Linked DNA regions of Anolis sagrei. The protein of the gene in region 4 binds, or shares a complex with, the protein of the main gene of each other region. Links are inferred from orthologs where the notes say so. Each region holds a gene or a part of one and is shown on either strand. Other genes may lie near its edges. The genes, in order: RGMA, RGMB, BMPR1A and BMP2.

Region 1 (6,918 bases), on a different chromosome or scaffold from region 4:
GTGAAACTGCTTCTGGTGTGAGAGAATTGGCCGTCTGCAAGGACGTTGCCCAGGGGACGCTCAGATGTTTTGATGTTTTGATCTATTTATTTATTTATTTATTTATTTATTTACAGCTTTTATATTCCGCCCTTCTCACCCCGCAGGGGACTCAAGGCGGATTACAGTGTACACATATATGGCAAACATTCAATGCCAATTTTTGACATACAAACATATACAGACATACACAGAGGCTATTTAACTTTTTCTGGCTGCCAGGGGAGCTGTTGCTTTCATCATCCATCTGCGACGCTGATGAAGCACTTCCGCATTCCCCGCATGCTTCCCCGCTGGAATGCTTTGCTGGAGTCTTCTTTATGGCCTCATAAATCAGTTAATTTAGCCTCCCCACACTTTATTTTCCTACTTGACAGATGCAACTGTCTTTCGGGTTGCAAAGGTCAACAACAGGCTACACACAATTGGTTGGAAACCCACTCCAACCCGGGCTGGCTTCGAACTCATGACCTTTTGGTCAGAGTGATCTTAATGCAGCTGACACTCAGCCAGCTGCACCACAATCCCGGTGCCAATCTAAACATTAAGAAGGGAATATTGATGATAAGAGCTGTTTGACAGTGAAATATATGCCGTGGAAGATGGCAGTCTCTCCTATCCTGGAGGTCTTTCAGCTGAGGCTGGATGGCCATCTGTCAGGAGGGCTTAGATTGGGCATTCCTGCAGAAAATAATGGGGTTTGATTGGATAGCCCTTGTGCTCTCTTCCAACTCTATGAATTTATGGTTCTAAGTTTTATGCTTGGTATGTTTAGCTTGGAGAGGAGAAGATATATGGAAGGTGACATATAGAAGATGGAGAAGTCTTGTTTTCTGCTGATCTGGAGGCTAGAACATGAATGAATGGATTCAAATTACAAAAAAAGACATTGAGTCAGCTGCATACTCTGCTTAACAGCAGATCCAGATCTGTTCGCTTGCTATATATCCATGATCTGAACATATTTTATCACACTCCCAGATATACATGTGTTTAGCACACATAAACACTTGCTGAGATTTAAACACGGCATCGGAGGATAAGTGCCATTGCTTCTGACATGACATGTCTGAAAGACTGGAATAATAAAAGGTGGCAATAAACGGGATTGTGTATGTGCCGTAAAATGAATGCTGTCGTTTGTTGTCTCGGATGCCTCCTGTTTCTCTTTTTATCCCGAAAGACCAAAGAGGCATTTCTCCCGGCTTCTCCGCGGGGTTGTCAGTTTCTTTTGTTTTCAATGGAAAAATGGTAGTTGCCATTTAAAAGATATTTACTTCAGTTTAATGAGACTCGTGAGCCCGGAAAGATAGATTCAGGCCCCTATAGACAATTGAATGTATTAGTCAGTGTTAGACTATTCTGAAATGAGGGAAGATAAATTGGCACATGTGGGAGCAAGAGCACTTCGTTCCCTTTTTAATTCATTCCATTTATAACCTTCGTTTCGCCGCAAGTATTCAAAACTATAGGTTAAAATAAAGTCGAGCTAAAACAGGCAACATGATTTAATGGTTTGGGTAACAGACAAGGATTCTGAGAGTCTCTGCTCAGCATGAGAACCTATTGGGTTACCTCCCTGGGTATTTTAGACTGTTTAGTCGATTTTGATCATTTTCACATCTGATACGGACCAACTTGGGATTATTTTAATGGGTCATTCAATATTGCTATGTATTAACTATGTTGAGGAGCCCCTGGTAGTGCAGTGGGTTAAAGCGCTGAGCTGCTGAGCTTGTTGATCGAAAGGTCGCAGGTTCGATTCTGGGGAGCAGCGTGAGCTTCCGCTGTCAGCCCTAGCTTCTGCCAACCTAGCAGTTCGAAAACATGCAAATGTGAGTAGATCAATAGGTACCGCTCTGGCGGGAAGGTAACGGCACTCCATGCAGTCATGCTGGCCACATGACCTTGGAGGTGTCTACGGACAACGCTGGCTATTCGGCTTAGAAATGGAGATGAGCACCATACCCCAGAGTCAGACATGACTGGACTTAATGTCAAAGGACTACCTTTACCTTTACCTTTATTAACTATGTATGTTTGGTTGGTTGCTTACTTACTTAGGCGATCCCTCATTGTCCAAGTAGGATAGTCTTCCAAGATCAATGTACTGGTGGGTCTGTAAGTGACTCTGGAGCCCTATTCTTGATCTGCATCTTCTCCCGCAGTGAGGGCATTGGTTTCCAGGTGGAAGGCGGTCCCGGTTGGGGTTGGCTTGATGCACCTTCCTCTTGGCACATTTCTCTCTTTTGCCCTCCATTCATGCCTCTTCAAATTCTACAGCACTGCTGGTCACAGCTGACCTCCAGCTGGAGTGCTCAAGGGCCAGAGCTTCCCAGTTCTCAGTGTCTGTGCCAGAGTTTTTAAGATTGGCTTTGGGCCCATCTTTCAATCTCTTTTCCTGCCCACCAACATTCCATTTTCCATTTTTGAGTTCAGAGTAGAGCAGCTGCTTTGAGAGATGGTGGTTGGGCATCCGGACAACATGGCTGGTCCAGGGGAGTTGATGGCAGAGGACCATCGCTTCAATGCTGGTGGTCTTTGCTTCTTCCAGCACACTGACATTTGTCCACTTGTCTTCCCAAGAAATTTGCAGGATTTTCTGGAGGCAGTGCTGATGGAATCGTTCCAGGGGTTGCATGTGACATCTGTAGACAGTCCACGTTTCGCAGGCATACAGCAGGATTGGGAGGACAATAGCTTTACAAAGAAGCACCTTGGTATCCCTACGGATGTCCCGGTCTTCAAACACTCTGCTTCATTCGGAAAAAAGCTGCACTTGCAGAGCTCTAGTGGTGTTGTATTTCAGTGTCAATGTGGACTTTTGTGGAGAGGCGACTGCCAAGGTAGCAGAAAGGGTCAACATTTTCTAATGTTACACAATTAAGCTGTATTTCTGGCATTGGAGAGGGATTGGCTGGTGACTGCTGGAAGAGCACTTTGGTTTTCTCGATGTTCAATGACAGGCCAAGCTTCTAATATGCTTCTGCGAAGATGTTTAGAGTGGCTTATAGGTCTTCTTCTGAATGTGCACAGATGACATTGTCATCAGCATACTGGAGTTCTATAACTCAGCTTTCAGTCTGCTGTGGTTAAACTGCTTGCCATCTGTCTGATAGATGATTTCCACTATGGTATTATAGCGATGAAGATGGAGAATAAAGTTGGGGCAATGACACATCCCTGTTTGACACCCGATTCCACCCTAAATGAGTCACTTTGGGAGCCATTGCTGTCCAAAACTGTTGCCATCATGTCATCATCTGGGAAGGGATTCCACTAGAGCATTGCAGCACACCCAAATACCTAGGAGTCACTCTGGACCATGATCTGACTTACAAGAACCACTGCTTGACTATCAAGCTTCAGTCCTGCCGGCACAGGGGTTTAACCCACTACGCCACCATATATATATATATATATATATATATATATATATATGAGCAAACTACAGACCACAGACTAAAATGCAATCAGAGTCTTTCCACATGCACAATGGAGGACCTTTTTACAGTGACACCATAGCAGTCGCAGTGGCCAGCTTCTGATCAAAGAAAATTTAGCATCATGCTAAACTGATTATGGTTTTTCTATACATTATAACCGTATTCTCAATTTGCTTCTGGCATGATAACCATACAAACAAACAAACTATGGTTGTAAGCCATCTTGGAGAAAGGGAATAAAGAAATGTCCCAAACAAATAAATACATATTTGGAGTCAAGAGAGCAGTTTCTCGAAGCTCAGCTCTTGCACCTCTCCTCTCCTAGACCTGGGCAACTGCTCAGCAATTTCCCCCCATCAGCCTTCTCCTTTTTCCTCTTCTCTTCCTCCTCCTCTTCTTCTTCTTCCTCCTCCTGGTCCTTTTGCAGAGATGCTGTGAGAGATGCAAGCGAAGATGCAAGCCTGGCTTTCTCCCTCCCGCAGTCTCTAAAGGCAACATTGGAAAAGGCAAGGAGAAAGGAGGAGGGCATTGCAGGTTCTTAAAGTCTGCAGGGAGGAAGAAAAAGGGCTGCTCTTTTGCTGTCAATCCAGCTTCTCCCGCCTCCTCCCATCTCACTCCTGGCATCCCAGCAAACGCCTGCAGGCTTCCGGCTCCCACTGTCTCCCAGCCAGGTGTAGATGCTCATGCAGCCACCAAGGTAAGCCGGGATGGACAGGAAAGAGGTAAGGGAAGGGGGAGGAGGCAGTGGGATGGGGATTTGGGGCTCTGTGGGTGGACTACAAGCCATTATGTGCTTTCCGCACCTTCCTCAATTGCATCTCCTGTTTCTCATCAGTTATCCCCTTGCTCCCTCTTTGGGTTGCCGAGCATCCCTATGCTGAATGCATAGGTCCCTTGTGTTGTTGGGTTGTTTGGGGATATTTTCCTTTCTTTTTCGTTTTTTGGAAAGCAGGATTTTGGTGACCCTTGACCCACCCCAGGTTGACCTCCTCCTGCCTCTTCCCTAATTCTGTTTACTTAGGGAACCTGTTGAGAGGTGTCCAATTCTCCCTCCTGCTTGCATTTCGCTCCTTGAAATGTTGTCTCAAGAGATCTCCTTTTTTCCTTTTTCTCTCCCTTCCAACCCTTTAAAAAAAACCCAAATATTGAGTTTAAGCTACTCTTTTGAAAATCTAATAAAAGTAATTTTTGGAAGGAACAAAATCAGAAGCTGGCCAGAATCCTATTGTTCATCCCGATCAGAGTAGACTCTTTGAATCAATGGGATTTGCCTATCTTTGGATACATCCTTCAATGATGGGGTCCATCAGTTTACCGAGGATTAATCGTTTATTATTATTATTATTATTATTATTATTTGAAACACGAGATGAGTCCACAGAAGACACTCTGCTGGTTGTTGTATTGGATCAAACATCAAACATTTCCCAATTATTATTATTATTACAATTATTATTATTATTATTATTACAGATTGCACTCGGGGACCTCTCTTCCCCTTTGATGCCTCCTGAAACAATACAATAGGTATGAGTGCTTACTCATAGGAGTATGTCACACTAAGTGCTGGATTAATCAATTATTATTATTATTATTATTATTATTATACAGATTGCACTTGGGGACATCTCTTTCCCTTTGAGTATGAGTGCTTACTCATAGGAGTAAGTCACACTAAGTGCTGGATTAATCAATTATTATTATTATTATTATTATTATTATTGATTGCACTCAGGGACATCTCTTCCCCTTTGATGCCTCCCGAAACAATATAATAGGTATGAATGCTTACTCATAGGAGTAAGTCACATTAAGTGCTGGATTAATAGATGTTTATTATTATTATTATTATTATTATTATTATTATTCATAATAATAATAATACAGATTGCACTTGGGGACATCTCTTCCCCTTTGAGTATGAGTGCTTACTCAAAGGAGTAAGTTACACTAAGTGTTGGCTTAATTGATGATGATGATGATGATAATTATTATTATTATTATTATTATTATTATTACAGATTGCACTTGGGGACATCTCTTCCCCTTTGAGTATGAGTGCTTACTCATAGGAGTAAGTCACACTAAGTGCTGGATTAATTGAGGTTTATTATTATTATTATTATTATTATTATTATTATTATTATTACAGATTGCACTTGGAGACATTTCTTCCCTTTTGAGTATGAGTGCTTACTCATAGGAATAAGTCACACTAAGTGCTGGATTAATCAATTATTATTATTATTATTATTATTATTATTAAGGATTGCACTCAGAGACATCTCTTCCCCTTGGAGTATGAGTGATCACTCATAGCACTAAGTCACGCTATTCTATTTTTCTCTCTCTTTCCAAAACAGAGGAAAGCTTGTCTAGCATTGCAGCACCACGAAACCACAATCTGACCGCCAGAAGCTAGGTAGATTTACTCAAGACCCATTGAGGACAATGAGGCTGACCCCCCCCCCCCCCCATGAGTCTGCACAGAATTGCCACTTTCTATGTCTCCGTGATATGGAATCGTGGGAGTTGTAATTCACAAGGTTTTTAGCCTTCTCTGCCAAAAAAAAAAAAAAAATGCTGGTGCTGCATGAAATTATGATCCCGTAGCATTGTGCCATGGTGGTGAGTGATGTCAAACAGCATTCATTCCACAGTGTAAATCAGGCAAGGGCAAACTTCAGCCCTCCAGGTGTTTTGGACCTCAGCTCCCACAATTCCTAACAGCCAGAATTATGGGAGTTGGAGTCCAAAACACCTGGAGGGCTGAAGTCTGCTCATACCTGTTGTAGATGCACTCGAAGCTTATTTTATGTGAGTGAATTCCTCTGAATTAAATGGTGCTAAAGAAAGAACCAGAAAGAGGGGGGAAAGGTGGGATTCCTATAGACAGGAGAAACCTTTCAGTAGGATGTGATGTTTGTTACTGAAGCCCTCGGGGTTATTTGAACTATCCAAATGATCCCAAACTCTCAGCCATCAATTCCTGGCACCAGCTGCAACGTTTTTTTCCCGTCCCAAGTGGGATTCTTTTTATTTATTGATTGATTTACTGTATTTGTATACCGCCCTTCTCAGCCCTCAGGTGACAATAGTAACGATTCAATACCCAAAACCACCATAAAACATTTTTCACACATAAGAAAAAAAGATCCCCCATTCATTCCTCTGATGGTTTATTTGGCCCCCTCCACACAACTGTATTAAACCCACATTGAACTGGATTATATAGCAGTGTGGACTCCAACGACCCAGTTCAAAGCAGATATTGTGGGTTTATCTGCCTTGATTTTCTGGGTTATATGGCTGTGCGGAAGGGCCCTTAGAGTGACAGCACATCAGTGAATTGTCACTTTCGGAAGATAATACTTCCTTTCTAAGGGACAGAAAGGATGAGAAAATTTGCCTATCCTTCCTATTATATTGCATC
Region 2 (7,070 bases), on a different chromosome or scaffold from region 4:
TTTGTATTGTTTTTGTTCTTTTGATTCTTCCTTCATGATTTAACAAAAATGAGGATTTAAAGAAGTATCCCTCCCGTGATTCCATCGCATTAAGCCCTGGCAACTAAAGTACTGACAACTTGCATTAATTCTACAGCCTTAATGCCCCCAATCCTATGGAACGCAGGGAGTTGTAGTTGGCGAAACACCAAAGAGGCAGAGAAGGCTCAAGAATTTATTAAACTACAACTCCCAAGATCCCATAACATTGAGCCATGGTAGATGTCCCCCATCCTATGGAATGTAGGGAGCTGTAGATTGACGAGGAACCAAAGAGGCAGAGAAGGCTCAAGACCTTGTAAAACTACAACTCCCAAGACCCCATAACATTGAGCCATGGCAAATGCCCAGAATCCTATGGAACATACGGAGCTGTAGTCTGACGAGGCACCAAAGAGGCAGAGAAAGCTCAAGACTTGTAAAACTACAACTCCTAAAGTCCCATAACATTGAGCCACGGCAGAGGCCCACAATCCTATGGAGCATAGGGAGTTGTAGTTTGCCCCCAATGGGATGGAACCCAGCAAGTCTTCCACTATAGAATGAATGGAATTTGACAACACTTTAACTGCCTTGACTCAATGCTATGGAATCCAGGGAGTTGTAATTTGACAAGGCACTAAAGAGGCAGAGAAGGCTCAAGACCTTATTAAACTACCACTCCTGAGGTCCCAGAACACTGAGCCATGATAGATGATTCCAATTCTATGGAATGGAGGGAGGTGTGGTTTGCTGAGGTACCAAAGAGGCAGAGAATGCTAAAGATCCTGTAAAACTACAACTCCCAGGATCCCATAACCTTGAGCCACAGTAGATGCCCCACTGTGATGGAACCCAGCAAGACTTCCACTATAGAATGAATGCGATTTGACACCACTTTAACTACCTTGACTCAATGCTATGGAATCCAAGGAGTTGTAGTTTGACAAGGCAGAGAAGACTCAAAAACTTATTAAACTACAACTCTTGAGATCCCATAAAACTGTGCTGTAGAAATTACAAGTGTTGTCAAACTGCATTCATTCCACTGTGTAGGTGCACCCATTGAAAAAACTACAACTCCCAGGATTCCACAGCATTGAGAGATAGCAGTTAGGAGTGGTGCCAGGATGTGTTAATTCTACCACATCCAAGCCTAGGAAACTCTGAAAGTTGCAGTTTGTAGAAAAGGCTCAATGTCTTGTAAAACTACAATTCCCAGGATTCCACAACATCAAGGGGATGGCTGTTAGGAGCGGTGCCAAGCTGTGTCAATGCTACCGAATCCAAACCTATGGAATCCTGGGAGTTGTAGTTTGCTAAGGCAGAAGAGGCTCAAGGCTTTGCAAAACTACAGCTCCTAGGATTCCATGCTGCCTTAATTCTACTGCATTGAAGGCTATGGAATCCTGGGAGTTGTAGTTTGATAAGGCAGAGGAGGCTAAAACCTTGCAAAACTACAACTCCCAGGATTTCCACAGCATCGAGGGATTGCAGTTAGGAGTGGTGCCAAGCTGTGTTAATGCTAACTGCATCCAAGCCTATTGAATCCTGGGAGTTGTAGTTTGTAGCAAAGGCTCAAGACCCTGCAAAACTACAACTCCCAGGATTACACAACATGGAGGGATGACGGTTAGGAGCGGTGCCAAGCTGTGTCAATGCTATTGAATCCAAATCTATGGAATCCTGGGAGTTGTAGTTTGCTAAGGCAGAGGAGGCTTAAAACCTTGCAAAACTACAACTCCCAGGATTCCAAACCATGGAGGGATGGCCGTTAGGAGAAGCAGTGCCAAACTGCTTTAATTCTATTGCATTCAAGCCTATTGAATCCTGGGAGTTGTAGTTTGTAGCAAAGACTCAAGACTATGCAAAACTACAACTCCCAGGATTACACAACATGGAGGGGTGGCGGTTAGGAGCAGTGCCAAGCTGTGTTAATGCTACTGCGTCCAAGCCTATGGAATCCTGGGAGTTATAGTTTCCAATGGCTGAAGAGGGTCGAAACCTTGCAAAACTACAAGGCAGCTAGGAATGGTGCCAAACTGCTTTAATGCTATTGCACCCAAGCCTATGGAAACTTGGGAGTTGTAACTTGCAGAAGACGCTCAAGATCTTGCGAAACTACAATTCTCAGGATTTCGCAGCACAGAAGGATGGCGGTTTGGAGCTGTCCTAGCTGTGTTAGTTCTACTGCTTCCAAGCCTATGGAATCCTGGGAGTTGTAGATTGCAGAAGAGGCTCATGAACTTTGCAAAACTACAACTCCCGGGATAACACAGCTTGGAGGGGTGGCGGTTAGGAGCCAAGTTGCGTTAACTCTACCGCATCGAGGGCTACGGAATCCTGGGAGTTGTAGTTCGCGAAGGCAGAGGAGGCTCAAGACCTTGCAAAACTACAACTCCCAGGATTCCATAAGATGGGTAAAGTGGTGCCAATGCGCATTGACAGTCTACACCCGGGAAAGAGAGCGTCGGCGGCGGTACCTGCGTGAAGAAGGAGCCCGAGGCCGACGAGGAGCCCCAGGAGAGGCGGGGGTTGGCGCTGCTTGCGGCGTTGCTGCTGCTGCTGCGGCTCCTCCTCAGCGCATGCGCAGTACGGGCCCGCCCTCCCCATGCCCGTCCATGCAGCTCTGCGGGGCTCCAGCGGCGAGGAGGCGGCGGCGGGGCGGGTGCATGAGCCGCCGGGCGGGCCTCCTCCTTTTCCTCCTTCTCCTCGCTTCCTCTTCTTCTTCCTGAGGGTCAGCCCCAGCCAGGGACAGGCAGCGAAGGCGGCGGCAGCAGCATCCCCAAGCCAGAAAGAGAAAGAAGAGGCACAAAGCCAGTCAGAATCCGCGAGCGCCGTTCCTCCTTCTCGCCTTCCCTCCCTCCGGACCTTCCTCACTGGAAACAATCTCGGCTCCGCTCTTCCCCGCCCGGCGCCCCTCCCGCCGCGCTCCCATTGGTTCCGCCCCGCCCACCACGCTCCCATTGGTTCTTCCCCGTCCGCTGCGCTCCCATTGGCTGGATGGCGCCGTCCAACAAAACAAAGGCGGCTCTCATAGGAGGCCGGAACTTTCCTCCCCCTCCTTTGAAAAAAAAATTGGAGTCGACTTTTGCCAAAGAGCGCAGTGGCTTGTCTGGGTGTTTACACTTTAAGGAGTGGGTGGGGTTGGCTTTCCTTTCCTTTTGGTTGGGCTGGTTAGGCTCAAAACAACACTGCATCCTGGGAGGATTACAAAAAGGGAATCTAGCTCCTGGAGTATGGGTGCATCTGCACTGTAGGGTTAATCCAGTTTGGCACTGCTTTAACTGCCATGGCTCAATGCTATGGAATCCCGGAATTTGTTTGGTCGCCAACATTCATAGAATCACAGAGTTGGAAGAGGCCTCGTGGGCCATCCAGTCCAATCCCATTCGGCCAAGAAGCAGGAAAATCGCATTCAAAACACCCCCGACAGAGGGTCATAAATTTGGAAGAGGTTTCGTGGGCCATTCAGTCCAAGCCCATTCTGCCAAGAAGCAGGAAAACCACATTCAAAACACTCCCAACAGATGGTCATAGAGTTGGAAGAGATTTCGTGGGCCATTCAGTCCAACCCCATTCCGCCAAGAAGCAGGAAAATCACATTCAAAACACCCCAGACAGATGGTCATAGAGTTGGAAGAGACCTCGTGGGCCATCTAGTCCAACCCCATTCGGCCAAGAAGCAGGAAAATCACATTCAAAACACCCCTGACAGATGGTCATAGAGTTGGAAGAGATTTAGTGAGCCATTCAGTCCAACTCCCTGCCAAGAAGCAGGAAAATCGCATTCAAAACACCCCAGACAGATGGTCATAGAGTTGGAAGAGATTTTGTGACCATTCAGTCCAACCCCATTCTGCCAAGAAGCAGGAAAATTGCATTCAAAACACACCCGACAGATGGCCATCCAGCCTCTGCTTAAAAGCCTACAAAGGAGCCTCCACCACACATTCTTTAGAAGAAAAGACTATAAAGAGCTTGCAAAACTACAACTCCCATTATTACAAAGTGGGATCGAGCTGCACTAATTCTAAAGGCATGGGCAGACTTTGGCCCTTCCTCCTGGTGTTCTGGACTACAACTCCCATAATTCCTAACAGCAATTAGGCTATTAGGAATTGTGGGAGTTGTAGTCCAAAACACCTGGAGGGAGGGCCAAAGTTTGCCCATGCCTGGTGTAAATGCATGCATAGATTCAACAGTTAGGAAGATCCTCTAATCCAGGGGTCCTCAAACTTTTTAAACAGAGGGCCATGTCACAGTCCCTCAAACTGTTGGAGGGCTGGGTTATAATTTCAAAAAACCATGAATGAATTCCTATGTACACTGCACATATATTATTTGTAGTGCAAAAATACTTAAAACAATACAGCAATTAAAATTAAGAACGATTTTAACAGATATAAACTTATTAGTATTTCAATTGAAACTGTGGGGCCTGCTTTGGCTAATGAGATAGGATTGCTGTTGTATGCTTTCAAGTCGTTTCAGACTTAGGATGAACCTGAGCGAGGGCTAGGTAGATGACCTTGGAGGGCCGTATCCGGCCCCCGGGCCTTAGTTTGAGGACCCCTGGTCTAATCTAAACTCATTCTGCCAGCCAGCATGCCAATGACTTAAATCAAGAAATAGTTTTCTAAGATCTACAGAGACACTCAGCAAGCGAGAGTCCAAAAGTGGCAAGTTAAAACCCAGCACCTAAATCCATGGCCAATACCAAATGAGAAACTCCCTCCTGGACACACAGAAAACTGGGTGACTTGGAAGGTTCTGAACAGACTGCACTCTAGCATCACAAGATGCAGAGCCAACCTTAAGAAATGGGGCCACAAAGTGGAGTCCACAACATGAGAGTGTGGAAAAGAGCAAACCACAGACGACCTATTACAATGCAGCCTGAGCCCTGCCACATGCACAATGGAGGACCTTCTTATAGCAACACCAGAGGTACTCTAAGTGGCCAGCTACAGGTCAAAGGACATTTAATATAATGCCAAGTTTTCAAACTTTGTGTTTTTTAAAAAAATACGATGTAACCGTAGCCTTGGTTCGCTCCTGATACAATAAATAAATATCCTGATAGATGGCCATACAGTCTTTGTTTAAAAATAAACTCTCAAATATGTCATATGACAGATGTATTACTTATATGCACAATATAGAAGAGCAATTTCTCTTTATCATGGATAAATGACCATATTCATAGATAAACACAATAGTCCAATTTGTCTGATGGTTTAAAGTCCTTTGGTTTAATAGTCCTTTGAAACATCTACAAATGACTCTTTCAGTCATCAGACAAATTGGACTATTATGTTTATCTACATGAATATGGGCATTTATCCATGATAAAGAGAAGTTGTTATTCTATATTGTGTATATAAGTAATAAATCTGTCATATGACATCATATTTGAAGTTTCAACAACAATAACATAATACTTTGTGTATCTCAGTAATAGATATCTGTGTTCTATATATTTAAAAAAAACCTCTAAAACAAGGTGATTTTTAAAAACACATCTTAAGTTATAGGAAATTCGGGACGTGCCCTTTAAGAAGGCAAAGCGCGCTCTGAAAACCCGCAGGCTGACTCCTTCAGCCCTGCGTCGTACTTCCTACAGCCAATCAGAGCGCCCGCTGCTTTGTCCCAACATTCCGATTTGGAACATAAGGCTTCCAAAGCCAAGAGCACTTAGCTGGGACAGGCTGGGAATATGATTGGCTGGGAGCGAGGAATAGGGAAGGGGGGGGGGGCATTGTGTCACGTGACCCATGGAAGCTCGGTTTAGGTTACAGACCGAGCGAGCGCCAACTAGACGGATTCCTAGAGGGCAAAAAAGCTCGGCTGGAACTTGAATGCTGGAGGAAGGGAGAGACGCCAAGGGATTGCCACCGATTTTGTAATAGCAACTTAGGGTACATCTACACCAGGAATGGGCCAACTTGGGCTCTCCCTCCAGGTCTTTTGGACTTCAACTCCCACCATTCCTAACAGCCTCAGGCCCTTTCCTTTAAGTTGTTAGGACTTGTGGGAGTTGAAGTCCAAAACACCTGGAGGAAGGGCCCAAGTTTGCCCAGGCCTGCTCCACACCAACCCAAGTGGTCAGATGGGCCCTGGGAAAGGAATCCCACTTGGCTGGAACAGAGAAATGTAGGGAGTTCTAGTTTGCTCCCAATGGATGGAACTCAGCAAGACTTCCCCTATAGAATGAATGCAATTTGACACCACTTTAACTGCCTTGAGTCAATACTATGGAATCCAGGGAGTTGTAGTTTGATGAGGCAGTGAAGACTCAAGAACTTAGAAAACTACAGCTCCCAGGACTCCACAGCATGGAGCCATAGAAACTACAAGTGTTGTCAAACTGCAGTTATTCCGCAGTGTAGAGGCGCACGTTGCAAAACTACAATTCTCAGGATTCCACAGCATGGAGGGATGGCAGTTAGGAGTGGTTCCAAGCTCTACTGCATCCAAGCCTATGGAATCCTGGGAGTTGTAGTTTGGTGAGGCACCGAAGATGCAGGGAAGGCTCAAGAATTTAGAAAACTACAGCTCCCAGGACTCCACAGAGCCGTAGAAATTACAAGCGTTGTCAAACTGCAGTCATTCCACAGTGTAGGTGCGCCCGTTGCAAAACTACAATTCTCAGGATTCCACAGCATAGAAGGATGGCAGTTAGGAGCAGTCCCAAGCTGTATTAGTTCTGCTGCTTCCAAGCCTATGGAATCCTGGGAATTGTAATTTGCAGAAGAGGCTCAATACCTTGAAAACTACAACTCCCACAATTCCACAGCTTGAAGGGATGGCAGTTAGAAGCGGTTCCAAGCTGTGTTAGTTCTACTGTAGCCAAGCCTATGGAATCCTGGGAGTTTTAGTTTGCAGAAGAGGCCCAATACCTTGCAAAACTACAACTCCCAGGATTCCACAGCACGGAGGGCCAGCAGTAAGAAGCAGTTCCAAGCTGTGTTAGTTCTACTGCATCCAAGCCTATGGAGTACTGGAAGTTGAAGTTTGCAGAAGAGGCTCAATACCTTGCAAAACTACAA
Region 3 (7,547 bases), on a different chromosome or scaffold from region 4:
CACATTTGGGCATATTGAGTATTTGTGTAGTTTGGTCCAAATCCATCATTGTTTGAGTCCACAGTGATCTCTGGATGTAGGTGAACTACAACTCCAAAACCAAAGGACACTGCTCACCAAACCCTTCCAGTATTTTCTGTTGGTCATGGAAGTTCTGTGTGCCAAGTTTGGTTCAATTCCATCGTTGATGGGGTTCAGAATGCTCTTTGATTGTAGGTGAACTATAAATCCCAGCAACTACAACTCCCAAATGACAAAATCAATTCTTTTTGAGTGAAGAACATACATTGGGTTGTTAGGTTTTGTCTTGTGTCCAGATTTGGTGTCAATTCGTCCAGTGGTTTTTGAGTTCTGTTAATCCCACAAATGAACATTACATTTTTATTTATATAGATTTTCCTAGTTCCAACAGACCTCACTACCTCTGAGAATGCTTGCCATAGATGCAGGCGAAACGTCAGGAGAAAAAACCTACAACAACCAACAACAACAACAACAATTCTTTATTGATTAGTCAATTTTGACCGTATCAAAACATGCAAAACATACACTTGGCCATACATACAGTATACATACAGTAAAACCATATATGAATACAAGGCAAGGCATATTCCGGTTTCTCTTCAGATCGCATAAACCAGGGGTCCTCAAACTAAGGCCCGGGGGCCAGATACGGCCCTCCAAGGTCATTTACCCGGCCCTCACTCAGGTTGAACCTAAATCTGAAACGACTTGAAAGCACACAACAACAACAACAACAACAACAACAACAACAACAATCCTATCTCATCAGCCAAAAGCAGGCCACACTTCCCATTGAAATACTAATTAGTTTATATTTGTTAAAACTGTTCTTCATTTTAATTATTGTATTGTTTTTAAGGGGTTTTTTGCACTACACATAAAATGTGTGCATATTCAAATTATAATCTGGCTCATGCTGCAGATACAATAATATCTACACCAGTGGTTCTCAACCTGGGACCCCTGGGGGGGGGGTCGCGAGGTGGTGTCAGAGGGGTCGCCAAAGACCATCAAAAAACACAGTATTTTCTGTTAGTCATGGGGGTTCTGTGTGGAATGTTTGGGCCAATTCTATCGTTGGTGTGGTTGAAAATGCTCTTTGAATGTAGGTGAACTATAAATCCCAGAAACTACAACTACCAAATGTCAAGGTCTATTTTCCCCAATCTCCACCAGTGTTCACATTTGGGTATATTGAGCATTCATGCTAAGTTTGGTCCAGATCGATCATTGTTTGAGTCCACAGTATTCTCTGGATGTATGTGAACTACAATTCCAAAACCATTCCAGTATTTTCTGTTGGTCATGGGATTTCTGTGTGCCACGTTGGGTCCAATTCCATCATTGGGGGAGTTCAGAATGCTCTTTGATTGTAGGTGAACCCTAATATATCCCAGCAACTACAACTCCCAAATGATAAAATCAATCTCCCTCAACCCCACCAGTATTCAAATTTGGGTGTATTGGGTATTTCTGCCAAATTTGGTCCAGTGAATGAAAATACATCCTGCATATCGGATATTTACATTACAATTCATTACAGCAGCAAAATTACAGTTATAAAGTAGCAACAAAATAATGTATTGTCGAAGGCTTTCATGGCTGGAATCACTAGGTTCTTGTGGGTTTTTTCGGGCTATAGAGCCATGTTCTAGAGGCATTTCTCCTGACATTTCGCCTGCATCTATGACAAGCATCCTCAGAGGTAGTGAGGTCTGTTGGAATTAGGACAATGGGTTTATATATCTGTGGAATGGCTGGGGTGGGGCAAAGAACTCTTGTCTGTTGGAGCTAGGTGTGAATGTTTCAACTGATCACCTTCATTAGCATTTGAAGGCCTGCCTGAGCCTGGGAAAATCTCTTGCTGAGAGGTGTTAAGATGTGCCTGGTTGTTTCCTCTCTGTTGTTTTGCTGTTGTAATTTTAGAGTTTTTTAATACTGGTAGCCGGATTTTGTTCATTTTCATGGTCTCTTCCTTTCTGTTGAAATTGTCCACCTGGTTGTGGATTTCAATGGCTTCTCTGTGTAGTCTGACATGGTGGTTATCGGTGTGGTCCAGCATTTCTGTGTTATGGTTGGGGGTCACCACAACATGAGGAACTGTATTAATGGGTCGTGGCATTAGGAAGGTTAAGAAACACTGATCTACACCATGCTGCAGATATAATTATTATTATTATTATTATTATTAAAAAAAATAAAAAATCTGGCCCTCCAACAGTTTGAGGGACTGTGACCTGGCCCTCTATTTAAAAAGTTCGAGGATCATTGGCATAAATCGTTACAACAACCCAAAATCTCACAAGATCTGCTTCGAACTGGCAGTGTGGACTCAGATATTCAAAGCAGATATTGTGGGCTTTTTCTGCCTCGATAGTCTGGGTTATAGCTGTGTGGAAGGGTCCCAAGTCCACACTGCTATATATTCCAGTTCAAATCGGATAATGTGCGATTGTATTCAGCTGTGTGGAAGGGGCCTATGTGTGCGAGTGGGTCTTTCCATAGAGCTCCCGGCCAGGCCTCGCCTACTCTTAGTCTGGAGACGGCGACTAAGTCTCTTGCTTCTTAAAAGGCAAAAACGAACGCAATTCAAGCCAGGCCTTAAAGGAGGAGGGAATATTTTCGGAAGGGAAGAGAAGGGACTCCTTCCCGCCGCCATTAGCTCCCCGCCTTTGCCTCACTCACCCGTGCCGGGGGGCCTTCATCCTCCTTTGTGCGGAAGGAGAGAGACAGAGAGAGAGAGAGAAGCAGGTCTGAGGTAAACCGCGTCCCCTCGGCTGAGGGCCTGGCCCGGTGGGGACCTTCCTCGGCTTCTCTACACGACGAAGGCGAAGGCGGCCCACGAAGACGAGGGAGAAAACTGTGAGGAGACAGCGCAGGCCTCTCCGCCTTTACCACAGCCTTTACCACAGCCGCCTCTCGACGCCAGCGCCGCCGTCCCCCCTCCCTCGTCAGAGCGTGAGCGCGCGCGCGCGCGCGTGTGCCTCTGTGTAGATGTGTCTGGGCACGCGCCTGCGCAGGAAGACGCGGAGGGAAAACGTCGCGCGCGCGCACACACTCCCTCGCGCTCTCTCTCTTGCGTGCTTGAGGAGTACGGCAGGAGGGGGGAGCAACGTTTGGAACGCTCTCTCTCTCACTCACTCGAATTATTCCAATCACTGCTAGTCGTGAAGCATGCCATGATTGGCTGGGGAGGAAAGTGCGAGGCGCGCGGACTCTACCTCCCCCCCCCCCTCCGCGCGTGCCTGCGTCTGTCCTTCCCCATCCCCCGTGCTCTCTCTTTTTAAAGTCCCTAAGGTGTTATTTGGCTGCCTTCCCGCCTCTCTACGGAAGTAGCCGAATAAGTTCGGAAGGGGTCGGCTTTAAAGTGAGGCCCCCAGCTCCCCGCACAGGCCAACTTGGCGCAGGCGCATTGGGATACACCTTTCCCAAAGAGAGGAGAAAGGGGTGCCGAAGTGGTGGCGGAGATTCCCGAAGGAGGCGCCTTCGGGGAAAGCGAGGCGGAGCTTCCCCGCCATTTCCGACCTTGGGAAGTTTTGGCGATAGAATCATAGAATCAAAGAGCTGGAAGAGACCTCATGGGCCATCCAGTCCAACCCCCTGCCAAGAAGCAGGAATATTGCATTCAAATCACCCCTGACAGATGGCCATCCAGCCTCTGTTTAAAAGCTTCCAAAGAAGGAGCCTCCACCACACTCCGGGGCAGAGAGTTCCACTGCTGAACGGCTCTCACAGTCAGGAAGTTCTTCCTCATGTTCAGATGGAATCTCCTCTCTTGTAGTTTGAAGCCATTGTTCTGCATCCTAGTCTCCAAGGAAGCAGAAAACAAGCTTACTCCCTCCTCCCTGTGGCTTCCTCTCACATATTTATACATGGCTGGCTATCATATGCTGGGGAAAGTGGAAGGTAAAAGGAAGAGGGGCCAACCAAGGGCAAGATGGATGGATGGCATCCTTGAGGTGACTGGACTGACCTTGAAGGAGCTGGGGGTGGTGACGGCCGACAGGGAGCTCTGGCGTGGGCTGGTCCATGAGGTCACGAAGAGTCGGAGACGACTGAACGAATGAACAACAACAAATCATATCTCCTCTCAGCCTTCTCTTCTTCAGGCTAAACATGCCCAGCTCCTTAAGCCGCTCCTCATAGGGCTTGTTCTCCAGACCCTTGATCATTTTAGTGGCCCTCCTCTGGACACATTCCAGCTTGTCAATATCTCTCTTGAATTGTGGTGCCATATAAGCAGGAGCGGTTTAAGGAGCTGGGCATGTTTAGCTTGAAGAAGAGAAGGTTGAGCGGAGATATGATAGCCATGTATAAATATGTGAGAGGAAGCCACAGGGAGGAGGGAGCAAGCTTGTTTTCTGGATGGCCATCTGTCAGGGGTGCTTTGAATGCAATATTCCTGCTTCTTGGCAGGGGGTTGGACTGGATGGCCCATGAGGTCTCTTCCAACTCTTTGATTCTATCTGCCTTGATATTCTGGGTTAAATGGCTGTGTGCAAGGCCCCTGATTTCAAAGCAGATATTGTGGGTTATATGGCTGTGTGGAAGTTCCATAAGGGGAAGTGAGCAGCCCAGGATACCAAGTTGTATTTATTTGCTACAGGAATGGGCAACCCATGTGGCTCCTGATATTGGGAGAATAGCACCATGTATGCTGGGACTAATAATAATAATAATAATAATTTTGTGTGTGTGTGTCAGGAGTAACTCCTGGTGTGAGAGAATTGGCCGTCTGCAAGGACATTGCCCAGGGGACACCCGGATGATTATGATGTTTTTATCATCCTTGTGGGAGGCTTCTCTCATGTCTCCGCATGAGGAGCTGGAGCTGATAGAGGGAGCTCATCTGCCTCTTCCCAGATTCGAACCTGCGACCTGTCGGTCTTCGGTCCTGCCGGCACAGGGGGTTAACCTGTGGTCAGTGGAAACATTCACACCTAGCTCCAACAGGCAAGAGTTCTTTGCCCCACCCTGGTCATTCCATTTTCCTAATTTCAAGAGACCTCACTACCTCTGAGGATGCTTGCCATAGATGCAGGCGAAACGTCAGGAGAAAATGACTCTAAAACATGGCCATATAGCCTGAAAAAAACCTACAACAATCCAAAGTACCATTCCTGGTCCATTAGGTAAGAAAGAGTGAGTTATAATGGTGAACTGGAGATAAGCAGGAGTGGACAGCATATTTCTTTTTGTTTAGGAATGATATGTTTAAAACTGATGATGATGATGATGATAATAATAATAATAATAACAATAAACTTTATTTATATACCGCTCTGTCTCTCTCGGGAGACTCGGGGCAGTTTCCAAGCAACAAGATCAAAATATACAGAGTCACAACATGAACAAAAAATAACAGCAACATAAGCATGGAATTACCCGACAACACATAAATATTAAAAGAAAAGATCTTGCCTGCTCTTCATATCTGCACCGGGATTGTGGTGCAGCTGGCTGAGTGTCAGCTGCATTAAGATCACTCTGACCAAAAAGGTCATGAGTTCGAAGGGTTGGAGTGGGTTTCCAACCAATTGTGTGTAGCCTGTTGTCGACCTTTGCAACTGTTGCATCTGTCAAGTAGGAAAATAAGGTACCACCTTAAAGTGTGGGGAGGCTAAATTAACTGATTTATGAGGCCATAAAGAAGACTCCAGCAAAGCATTCCAGCGGGGAAGCATGCGGGGAATGCGGAAGTGCTTCATCAGTGTCGCAGATGGACGATGAAAGCGACAGCTCCCCTGGTGGCCAGAAAAAGTTAAATAGCCTCTGTGTATGTCTGTATATGTTTGTATGTCAAAAATTGGCATTGAATGTTTGCCATATATGTGTATACTGTAATCCGCCCTGAGTCCCCTGCAGGGTGAGAAGGGTGGAATATAAAAGCTGTAAATAATAATAATAATAATAATAATAATAATATCTAATTTTTAGGGCATGGAAAAGGAATGGGTCAGGACAATTTAAAATGACAACTTTTTTTTTAAAAAAAACACACAGCAGTTCGGTAAATATATTAGGGTTTTTTTAAATTAAAAAATCAAGTCTGTTCTGTCTTAAAAATACTTTGTGAAAACTGCATTTTCACATTGTCCTCAGCACATTCATATAAAAACCTGACAGCCTATGGAAATGTCCCAGTCAGCATGAGGAAAAATGAAGGAAGGGTTTTGCTTAGTAATGTGAAAAACGAGTTGCATTGCCTGTGAAATCTACTATAAAGAGACTCCTGCATTGTGCCAATGTACTTGTCTTTTCCTTGACAGCTGACTAAGATGTTATTGGGATATCGCAGCAGTTTCTCATGGCACGGTGCCCTCTTCGCCAAGCAGTTTGTGAAGGACAAGTGGATGGGAAAAGCATTGAAGATGCTTGAAATTGGCAGCTGGCCTTCTGTGAAGCTTCAGAGGGAAACAGTGGCCTGTATTGTTCGCCTTCCAGCCTACCACCCTCCAGTTCCAATACTGGAAGCTGGCATTTAGAAAGAACTGCCATTGCTTCAGAATAGAAGAGGAGAGCTCATGGCTCAAGAGCAGTACAAGCTCTTTGTGTCCAAAACACTTCACATTCATCATCTTAGTGACTAACATCTCCACTGGTTTTGTTGCCCGGTGGTATTATTGTATAACTATGTCATGCCCGGTTGTTTTAAAGGATGTAAAGAAAGAAAAAAGGGATAAAAATATTTTAAACTAGCCGTCCCCTGCCACGCGTTGCTGTGGCCCAATCTGTGTATATGTGTTTTGTGTGTGTATAAAATTTGGTGTCAATTCTTCCAGTGGTTTTTGAGTTATGTTAATCCCACAAACAAACGTTGCATTTTTGTACTAGCTGTCCCCTGACACGCGTTGCTGTGGCCCAGTCTGGTGATCTGGAAAATAAAGTAATGAGAAAGTGTTGGTTTCTAATATATGTAATTCCTTTATGCTTGTGAGTAAACAGTATTTCTTGTTGTTTCTTTGTCAGTGTTGATGTGGAGAGTGTCTGGTTTGCCTACTCTGGAATAGCAACATATCATAGTCCTTCTTTAAGGGTCTCTTTCAAATCTATGATACTATATCTGTGTGTGTGAAAGAGAATCATATCTATCTATCTATATTTATGACTGGATGGCTCTTTGTCAGGAGGGCTCTGATTACATTTTCTTGCCCTGGTGAAGAGAGTTGGACTGGATGGCCTTAAGTATTTTCTGTTGCTCATGGGGGTTCTGTGTGGGAAATTAGTCCCAATTCTGTCGTTTGTGGGATTCAGAATGCTCTTTAATTTTAGATGAACTATAAATCCCAGCAACTACAACTCTGAAATGTCAAGGTCTATTTCCCTTAATCTCCATCTGTGTTCATATTTGGGCATATGGAATATTCGTGCCAAGTTTGGTCCAGATCTATCATTGTTTGAGTCCACAGTGCTATCTCGAGGTGGGTGAACTACAATTCCCAAACTCAAGGTCAGTGCCCACCAAACCCTTCCAGTTTTTTCTGTTGGTCATGGGAGCCCTGTGTGCTAAGTTTGGTTCAATT
Region 4 (7,412 bases):
CAGATATTGTGGGATTTTCTGCCTTGATATTCTGGGATATAGGGCTGAGTGGAAGGGCCCCGAGTGTGGACTCAGACAACCCAGTTCAAAGCAAATATTTGGGAATTTCCTGCCTTGATATTCTGGAATACAGGATTGTGTGGAAGGGCTCCCCAAAAACCAAGGCAGAAAATCCCACAATGTCTGCTTTGAACTGGGTTATCTGAGGGCCCTTCCACACAGCCCTGTATCCAAGAATATCAAGGTAGAAAATCCCACATTATCTGAGTGCAGACTCAGAGAACCCAGTTCAAAGTAGGTATTTTGGGATTTCCTGCCTTGATATTCTGGGATAGAGGGCTGTGTGGAAGCCACCCCCCCCCCAAAAAAACCCCCACCAAGGCAGAAAATCCCACAACTTCTGCTTTAAACTGGGTTATCTGAGGACCCTTCCACATTGCACTCTATCCCAGAATATCAAGGCAGAAAATCCCACATTATCTGAGTGCAGACTCAGAGAACCCAGTTCAAAGTAGGTATTTTTGGATTTCCTGCCTTGATATTCTGGGATAGAGGGCTGTGTGGAAGCCACCCCCCCCCCCAAAAAAAACCCCACCAAGGCAGAAAATCCCACAACTTCTGCTTTAAACTGGGTTATCTGAGGACCCTTCCACATTGCACTCTTTCCCAGAATATCAAGGCAGAAAATCCCACATTATCTGAGTGTGCACTCAGAGGACCCAGTTCAAAGCATATTCTGGGATACAGGGCTGTGTGGAAGAGCCCCCCAAGAATCAAGGCAGGAAATCCCACAATATCTGCTTTGAATTGGATTATCTGAGGGCCCTTCCACACAACCCTGTATCCCAGAATGTAAAAGCAGAAAATCCCACATTATCTGAGTGTGCACTCATATAACCCAGTTCACAGCAGATATTCTGGGATACAGGACTGTGTGGAAGAGCTCCCCAAAAAACCACGGCAGGAAATACCACAATATCTGCTTTGAACTGGATTATCTGAGGGCCCTTCAACACTGCACTCTATCCCAGAATATCAAGGTAGAAAACCCCACATTATCTGAGTGTGCACTCAGAGAACCCAGTTCAAAGCAGATATCCTGGCATACAGTGCTGTATGGAAGAGCCCCCTAAGAACTAAGGCAGAAAATCCCACAATATCTGAGTGTGCACTCAGATAACCCAGTTCAAAGCAGATATTCTGGGATACAGGGCTGTGTGGAAAGGCTCTCCAAAAAACCAAGGCAGAAAATCCCACAATATCCGAGTGTGCACTCAGATAACCCAGTTCACAGCAGACATTCTGGGATACAAGGTTGTATGGAATAGCCCCCAAAAAACTAAGGCAGAAAATCCCACAATATCCGAGTGTGCACTCAGATAACCCAGTTCAAAGCAGATATTCTGGGATACAGAGCTGTGTGGAAGGGATCCCCAAAAAACCAAGGCAGGAAATCCCACAATAGCTGTTTTGAACTGGATTATCTGAGGGCCCTTCCACACAACCCTATATCCCAGAATAACAAGGCAGAAAATCCCACATTATCCGAGTGTGCACTCACATAACCAGTTCAAAGAAGATATTCTGGGATACAGGGCTGTATGAAAGAGCCCCCAAAAAACTAAGGCAGAAAATCCCACAGTATCTGAGTGTGAACTCAGATAATCCACTTCAAAGCAGATATTTTGGGATACAGGGCTGTATGGAAGAGCCCCCCAAGAACTAAGGCAGAAAATCCCACAATATCCGAGTGTGCACTCAGATAACCCAGTTCAAAGCAGATACTCTGGCATACAGGGCTGTGTGGAAGGGATCCCCCCCAAAAAGGCAGAAAATCCCATAATATCTGCTTTGAACTGGGTTATCTGGGCTATAGCGTTGTCTGGAAGGACCCCGAGTCCACACTGCCCTATATCCCAGTTCAGAGCAGAGAATGTGGGATTCTATTCAGCTGTGTAGACGGGGCCGAAGAGTGCAAAGCGGCGTGGAGAGGGAAGCCTGAAAACCAAAGGAGGGAAGTGGCAGAGGCAACTTGGGTTGCGAGTCCCTGCCCCAAAGAGTCTTCTAATGACTTCACAACCTCTTGCCAGAGATGCAGGCGAAACGTCAGGAGAGAATGCTTCTAGATCCCGAAAAACAAGAGATTGGGACAAGGAGGCGCACCTTGGAAGGAAAGAGCCCCTCCTTTCTTTCACCTGAGACTCAGGAGGAAGCGAGGAGGAGATGGGACCCCCTAAAAGCGCGCTACACTGTCCCAATTGGAGATGCGCAGAGTATGAGCCTAGTAAGGCATGGAGACTGAGCATCCGCATCCGATGGCTGCCCTCGACGGCAGGTGCCTGGTGGGGTCTTTTACCTTTTAGGATCCCTCCGACGGCCTAAGAAGCAGCGGGAGGAGGAGGATGGGACTGGGGCACGTCCATGGAGCCGAGCCGCGCATGGGAGAGGAGTGCCTGGCCCCGTCGGCGCGCCTCTTTCCTTCCTTCCTTGGCTGGGCTTCAGTCTCCGCTCGGCTTGGGCTTCAGTCTCCGGCCGGGCTGGCTCTGGAGCGCCTGCGGAGCGCGCATCCCCGCCTCTCGGGCTCCTGGCAATGCCCGTCTTCTTAGCATCTTCTTCTCGGCCGCCTCGAAGAGGAGGAAGAGCAGGATTCCGTCTTTGCCGCCGGCCGCCTCCAGCCTGGCCCGCGTCGCCGTCTCGGAAACATCCCAGAGGTTGGAAATCGCAATAAGAAGAATATATAGAGACGCAACTACAAGATCAAGAGGGGAAAGAGTCCTAAGGATGCGCCCAAGTTTGGTGAGTTTGTCTCCCCAAAGCCGCCTCTTGCGGGAAAAAAGGAAAGCAGGGTTGTCCGCTGGCCGCGCAAGCAAGTCTTGGAGAGAGAGAATGTTCTGCCTTTGCTGCCTTCTCTGCCTCTGCCGCCGCTCCTCCTCTCGCTCGCGCTTTTTGTGGGCCCGCTCCTTGCTGATGTCACGGCCGCCAGGGCTTCACGCGGCTCCGCCAATCACAAGCCGGCCTGCGAACCAAGAAGAGGAGGAGGAGAAGCCGCGCGCGGAGAAGAAGCAGCAGCAGCAGCAGCACAAGAAGGCGGCTCGTCTTCTTAGAGAAATCTATATATTTAAAGGGGACGCCGCCTCTTTTTTTTCTCTCTTTTTTTCGTTGCCCCTCCTTTTGCTCCAGAGAGAAAGAAACGGAATCGTTGTTGATTCGTAGAATGATGCAAGTTGGAAGCGACCCCAAACCGCCCTCCGGTCCAACCCCCAAACACAATCAAAGCACCCTCGACAGATGGCCGTGCAGCCTCTGCTTTAAACAAAAAATATAAAACCCCAGAGAAGGGGATTCCACCACACTCCATAGAAAGGAGTCAGAAAGTTTGCCCAGTGCCGAAAGTGGGACCTCTTTTCCAGTGATCCTTTTTCGGGGGATTGATCGATTTGAAAAGAGACACGGCGTCGGAGGCAGTTCGCTCCGGAGTGGCTCCCCGTCCCGTCTCCGCCTCTGTCTTTCCTTCCTTCCTTCCGTCTTTCCTTCCTTTCTTTTCTTCCTTCCTTCCCTCCCTATCTTCCTTCCTTCCTTCCTTCCTTCCTTCCTTCCTTCCTTCCTTCCTTCCTTCCTTCCTTCCTTCCTTCCTTCCTTCCTTCCTTCCTTCCTCCCTCCCTCCCTCCCTCCCTCCCTCCCTCCCTCCCTCGCTCGCTCGCTCGCTTGCTTCTTCCTTCCTTCCTTCCTTCCTTCCTTCCTTCCTTCCTTCCTTCCTCCCTCCCTCCCTCCCTCGCTCCCTCGCTCCCTCCCTTCTTTCTTTCCTTCTGTCCTTCCCCCTTTCCTTCTTCCTTTGCTTCTTTTCTCCTTCCCTTCTTGCTTCTCTTCTTTCCATCTTTCCTTCCTCCTTTCCTTCTTTCTTTGCTCCTTACCTTCCTTTCCTTTCCTTCCTTCCTCCTTTCTTTCCTTCCTCTCTCCTTTCCTTCCTTATTTTCTCCCTTCTTTACTCCCTCATTCCCTTCCTTCTTTCCTCCCTTCTTTCCTTCCTTCCTTCTTTTTTTGCTTCTTCCCTCCCTCCCTCCTTTCTTTCCTTCTTTCCTCCCTCCCTCCCTTCTTTCCTTCCTTCCTTCCTTCTTTGCTTCTTTCCTTCCCCCTTTTCTTCTTTCTTTGCTTCTTTACTCCCTCCCTCCCTCCCTTCTTTCTTTCCTTCTTTCCATCTTTCCTCCCTTCCTCCTTTCCTTTTTTTCATTCTTTCCTTCCCCCATCCCTTCTTTCTTCCCTTTCTCCCTCCCTTCTTTCCTTCCTCTCTCCTTTCTTTCCTTCTTTCCTCCCTCGCTCCCTTCCTTCCTTCCTTCCTTCCTTCCTTCCTTCTTTTCCTTCCTTCCTTCCTTCCTTCCTTCCTTCCTTCCTTCCTTCCAACCAACAACTGTTTGGTTGCCATTCAAAATAGCCCTTGGCAGGACAAAAAAGGAATGGTCCTCCAGATGTTGGACTCCAAATTCCATCAGTCCTGGGAGGAAATGGAAGGAGAGGGATTCCTCAAGGGGCTTCTTGGAGACATTTACTCCCAAATCAACACTCAGACCCCCTTCCACAAAGCAGTACAACAACAACAACGTTATTATTATGGTCCATGGATCCACAACTGTTAGGTAGATAACATACAGTAGTTTACAGGTCCCTCATAACTGGGGAAATATGCAATACAAACACAAATTACACAGGGTCAGGTAATACCCAGACCAGTGACTAGGCTCTTTCTCAGCCTTTCTCAGCAGTATAAAATCCACATTGAACTGGATTATATGACAGTGTGGGCTCAGATAAAGCAGATATTTTGGATTATCTGCCGTTATAATCTGAGTTATATGGCTGTGTGGAAGGGCCCTCAGAACTGAGCCAACTTTGACCCAATCAATCTGTGGATTTCAGGTGTAGAATGAATGCAGGCTTGCCCTTGCTCCATGCTCTGGGATCATGAGAACTGTAGTTTTACAGGGCTTTGGGCTTTCTCTGCCAAAGGGCCCTTCCACACAGCCATATAACCCAGAATATTAAGACAGAAAATCCCACTTTATCTGAGTGTGGATTCATATAACCCAGTACAAAGCAGATATTGTGGGATTTTGTGCCTTGATATTCTGGGATATAGAGCTGTGTGGAAGGGCCCTGAATCTACAATGCCATATATTCCACTTCAAAGCAAATAATGTTGGATTTTATTCAGCTATGTGGAAGAGGCCTATGTCACATGATTTTTGCTCCTGGGTTATCATTTGCTAATTGGTTCTATCATCATGAGAAAAAGTTTTTCATCGTGAGAAAAGGTTTATCCAACTACCAAAACTTTGCTTTTGTGGGACACCCTGCAGCACATTTGGCTATAGCTTTTCAATGAATATCTCAGAGTCTCTCAACCAATTCAACATAGTTTGTGGCAGCCACAAAAATGAAGGTTCTGGAGTAAAGCAACTACTTTCAAAACAAGAAACAGGAAATAACACTTTCAGAACAGGAGCAGAACATTTTTCAAATTTTGTGACATAGTATAATGCATCGAACTTTATTGTATGAGGCTACACTGCCCTATAATGTAGTTAAACTGCATCATAGGGCAGTGTAGATGGTCCTTATATATGTTTCTCTGGGCCCTTCCACATAACCATATAGCCCAGGATCAGGGGCGCCTCAACCATTACGCAAAGTAAGCATTCGCAGTATGGTTGATTTTGCCCAGGGGCGCTCTTGAGGCGCTCTTGGGGGAAAATAGACCTTGACATATACAAGTTGTAGTTACTGGGATGTATAGTTCACCTACAATCAAAGAGCATTCTGAACTCCACCAATGATGGAATTGAACCAAATATGGCACACAGAACTCCCACGATGAACAGAAAATATATATCAATGATTGGTTGGGGGAGGGGGCGCCAAAATACTGTTTGCTTACCATTGAAAATTACCTAGGGCCGTCTCTGCCCAGGATATCAAAGCAGAAAATCCCACAATATCTGCTTTGAACTGGGTTATCTGAGTCCACACTGCCAAATATTCCAGTTCAAAACAGAGAATGTGGGATTTTATTTAGCTGTGTGGAAGGGCCCTCAAGGTCCTCAGCTTGGATTGAGTGGGTATCCCAAAGGTTCAGCCAGGAGAGAAAAAACAGGATGGGTTTTCCTTCACCTTGCAGAAGTAAACAGGCCGTTGGGACTGAAGGAAGGCTGAACAATGATCTATTATCTTGGCTTTTGTCTATAAGGGAAAGAGAGGTAAAGCGACACGCAGGCTCTGCCTCTACAAATCGGATTAGCTGTGTGCGGTGGGATTTAAGTGTTTACTCACTCGGAGGGTTGTGCTTGAAGGTCAAAGAAGGAGAAGCCGCCATGTGTTTTGGGAAAGGTGCCGGGCCTCCACCTGCACTGCCAACCTTCCCTGGGATGCCCAGCCAACAGAGAAGGCTGGTTCATAAAATTCAGTGCAAGCTGGGATTTCCACCTTTTAGAATTTGGCCTTTATCTGTACTCTTTCTGCTCCCTTTCAAGCAGTTTCCCCAACTTTGTTCCTCCAGGTATTTTGGATATCAGCTCCCAGAATTCTTTACTGTTGGATCTCCTGGGAGCTGAAGTCCAAAACACCTAGGAAACGAAGGTTTGGAAAACACTGTTTTAAAGAACTGATGCCACATGCAGAAAGGGGCGAGTTACAGGGAGCGGTCAACCCCCCTGTTTAAGGAACTTCACTGGCTGCCATTTATTTTCTGGTCCCAATTCAAGGTGCAGGTGATCACCTATAAAGCCCTATCTTCTTGATCATATATCTCTCCATGAACCAGCCCGAACTCTTCGGGGGAGGCCCTCCTTTCACCCCTGCCAGTCTCACAGGCCCGTCTTGTGAGTACAAGGGAGAGAACCTTCTCCTCTGTGGCCCCCCAACTCTGGAACTCATTGCCCGGAGATATTAGGAAAGCCCTCACCTTAGAAACCTTTAAAAAGCACCTTAAAACCTGGCTTTTCCACTGCGCCTTTGGAGAGTAGCCACACAATCTTACACTATTGCTCCCCTCAACGTTAGTGTCCTTGGAGTATACTCTCCCTCCCTTATATGAAGGCCTTGTTCAACCCGTGTTTATACGAGCTCTCCCTCGCAAATAACCTACTTCTATTATCTCACCCTGAGTTTTTAACATTTTATCTTGTACATGTGGCCCGCTCATTGTCATTACTATACATATTGTATTGGTATATTTCTTTTAAAAAATTATTATTATTTGTATGTGCGTATTTTACCGTTTTTGCTGGTGTATTGATTTTAATCTTGTTGTGATTTGTTGTTTGGGCTTGGCCTCATGTAAACCACCTCGAGTCCCCGTTGGGGAGATGGTGGCGGGGTATAAATAAAGACTATTATTATTATTATTATTATTATTATTATTA

What was found.
Region 1: the proteins of BMP2 (region 4) and RGMA are in contact, whole or in part, in a crystal structure (PDB 4UHY), measured with the Homo sapiens proteins. The link is inferred for Anolis sagrei from reciprocal best matches to the Homo sapiens genes BMP2 and RGMA. Residues at the interface, in NP_001191.1 of Homo sapiens: Val308, Gly309, Trp310, Asp312, Trp313, Met371, Tyr373, Leu374, Asp375, Glu376, Lys383, Tyr385, Met388; in NP_064596.2 of Homo sapiens: Arg91, Arg94, Gly95, Leu97, His100, Ser101, His104.
Region 2: the proteins of BMP2 (region 4) and RGMB are in contact, whole or in part, in a crystal structure (PDB 4UI2), measured with the Homo sapiens proteins. The link is inferred for Anolis sagrei from reciprocal best matches to the Homo sapiens genes BMP2 and RGMB. Residues at the interface, in NP_001191.1 of Homo sapiens: Val308, Gly309, Trp310, Trp313, Met371, Tyr373, Leu374, Asp375, Glu376, Tyr385, Met388; in NP_001353437.1 of Homo sapiens: Lys97, Arg100, Gly101, Leu103, His106, Ser107, Leu110.
Region 3: the proteins of BMP2 (region 4) and BMPR1A are in contact, whole or in part, in a crystal structure (PDB 2QJ9), measured with the Homo sapiens proteins. The link is inferred for Anolis sagrei from reciprocal best matches to the Homo sapiens genes BMP2 and BMPR1A. Residues at the interface, in NP_001191.1 of Homo sapiens: Lys297, Pro330, Phe331, Pro332, Leu333, Ala334, Asp335, His336, Ser339, Asn341, Ile344, Val345, Leu348, Asn350, Ser351, Val352, Asn353, Ser354; in NP_001393490.1 of Homo sapiens: His66, Cys67, Pro68, Asp69, Ile77, Thr78, Asn79, Phe83, Ile85, Cys100, Met101, Lys102, Glu104, Gly105, Phe108, Gln109, Asp112, Arg120, Ile122.

Annotation. Positions count from the first base shown.
Region 1 is NC_090029.1:17,659,741-17,666,658, forward strand, and holds the start of RGMA (repulsive guidance molecule A), read left to right. Parts: upstream 1-3,904; 5' UTR 3,905-4,162; coding exon 4,163-4,182; intron 4,183-6,918.
Region 2 is NC_090022.1:251,975,171-251,982,240, forward strand, and holds the start of RGMB (repulsive guidance molecule B), read right to left. Parts: upstream 3,001-7,070; 5' UTR 2,986-3,000; coding exon 2,502-2,985; intron 1-2,501. UniProt on the Homo sapiens protein: Member of the repulsive guidance molecule (RGM) family that contributes to the patterning of the developing nervous system. Acts as a bone morphogenetic protein (BMP) coreceptor that potentiates BMP signaling. Promotes neuronal adhesion.
Region 3 is NC_090023.1:159,897,314-159,904,860, forward strand, and holds the start of BMPR1A (bone morphogenetic protein receptor type-1A), read right to left. Parts: upstream 3,003-7,547; 5' UTR 2,710-3,002; intron 1-2,709. UniProt on the Homo sapiens protein: On ligand binding, forms a receptor complex consisting of two type II and two type I transmembrane serine/threonine kinases.
Region 4 is NC_090021.1:147,057,402-147,064,813, forward strand, and holds the start of BMP2 (bone morphogenetic protein 2), read right to left. Parts: upstream 3,021-7,412; 5' UTR 2,357-3,020; intron 1-2,356. UniProt on the Homo sapiens protein: Growth factor of the TGF-beta superfamily that plays essential roles in many developmental processes, including cardiogenesis, neurogenesis, and osteogenesis. Induces cartilage and bone formation.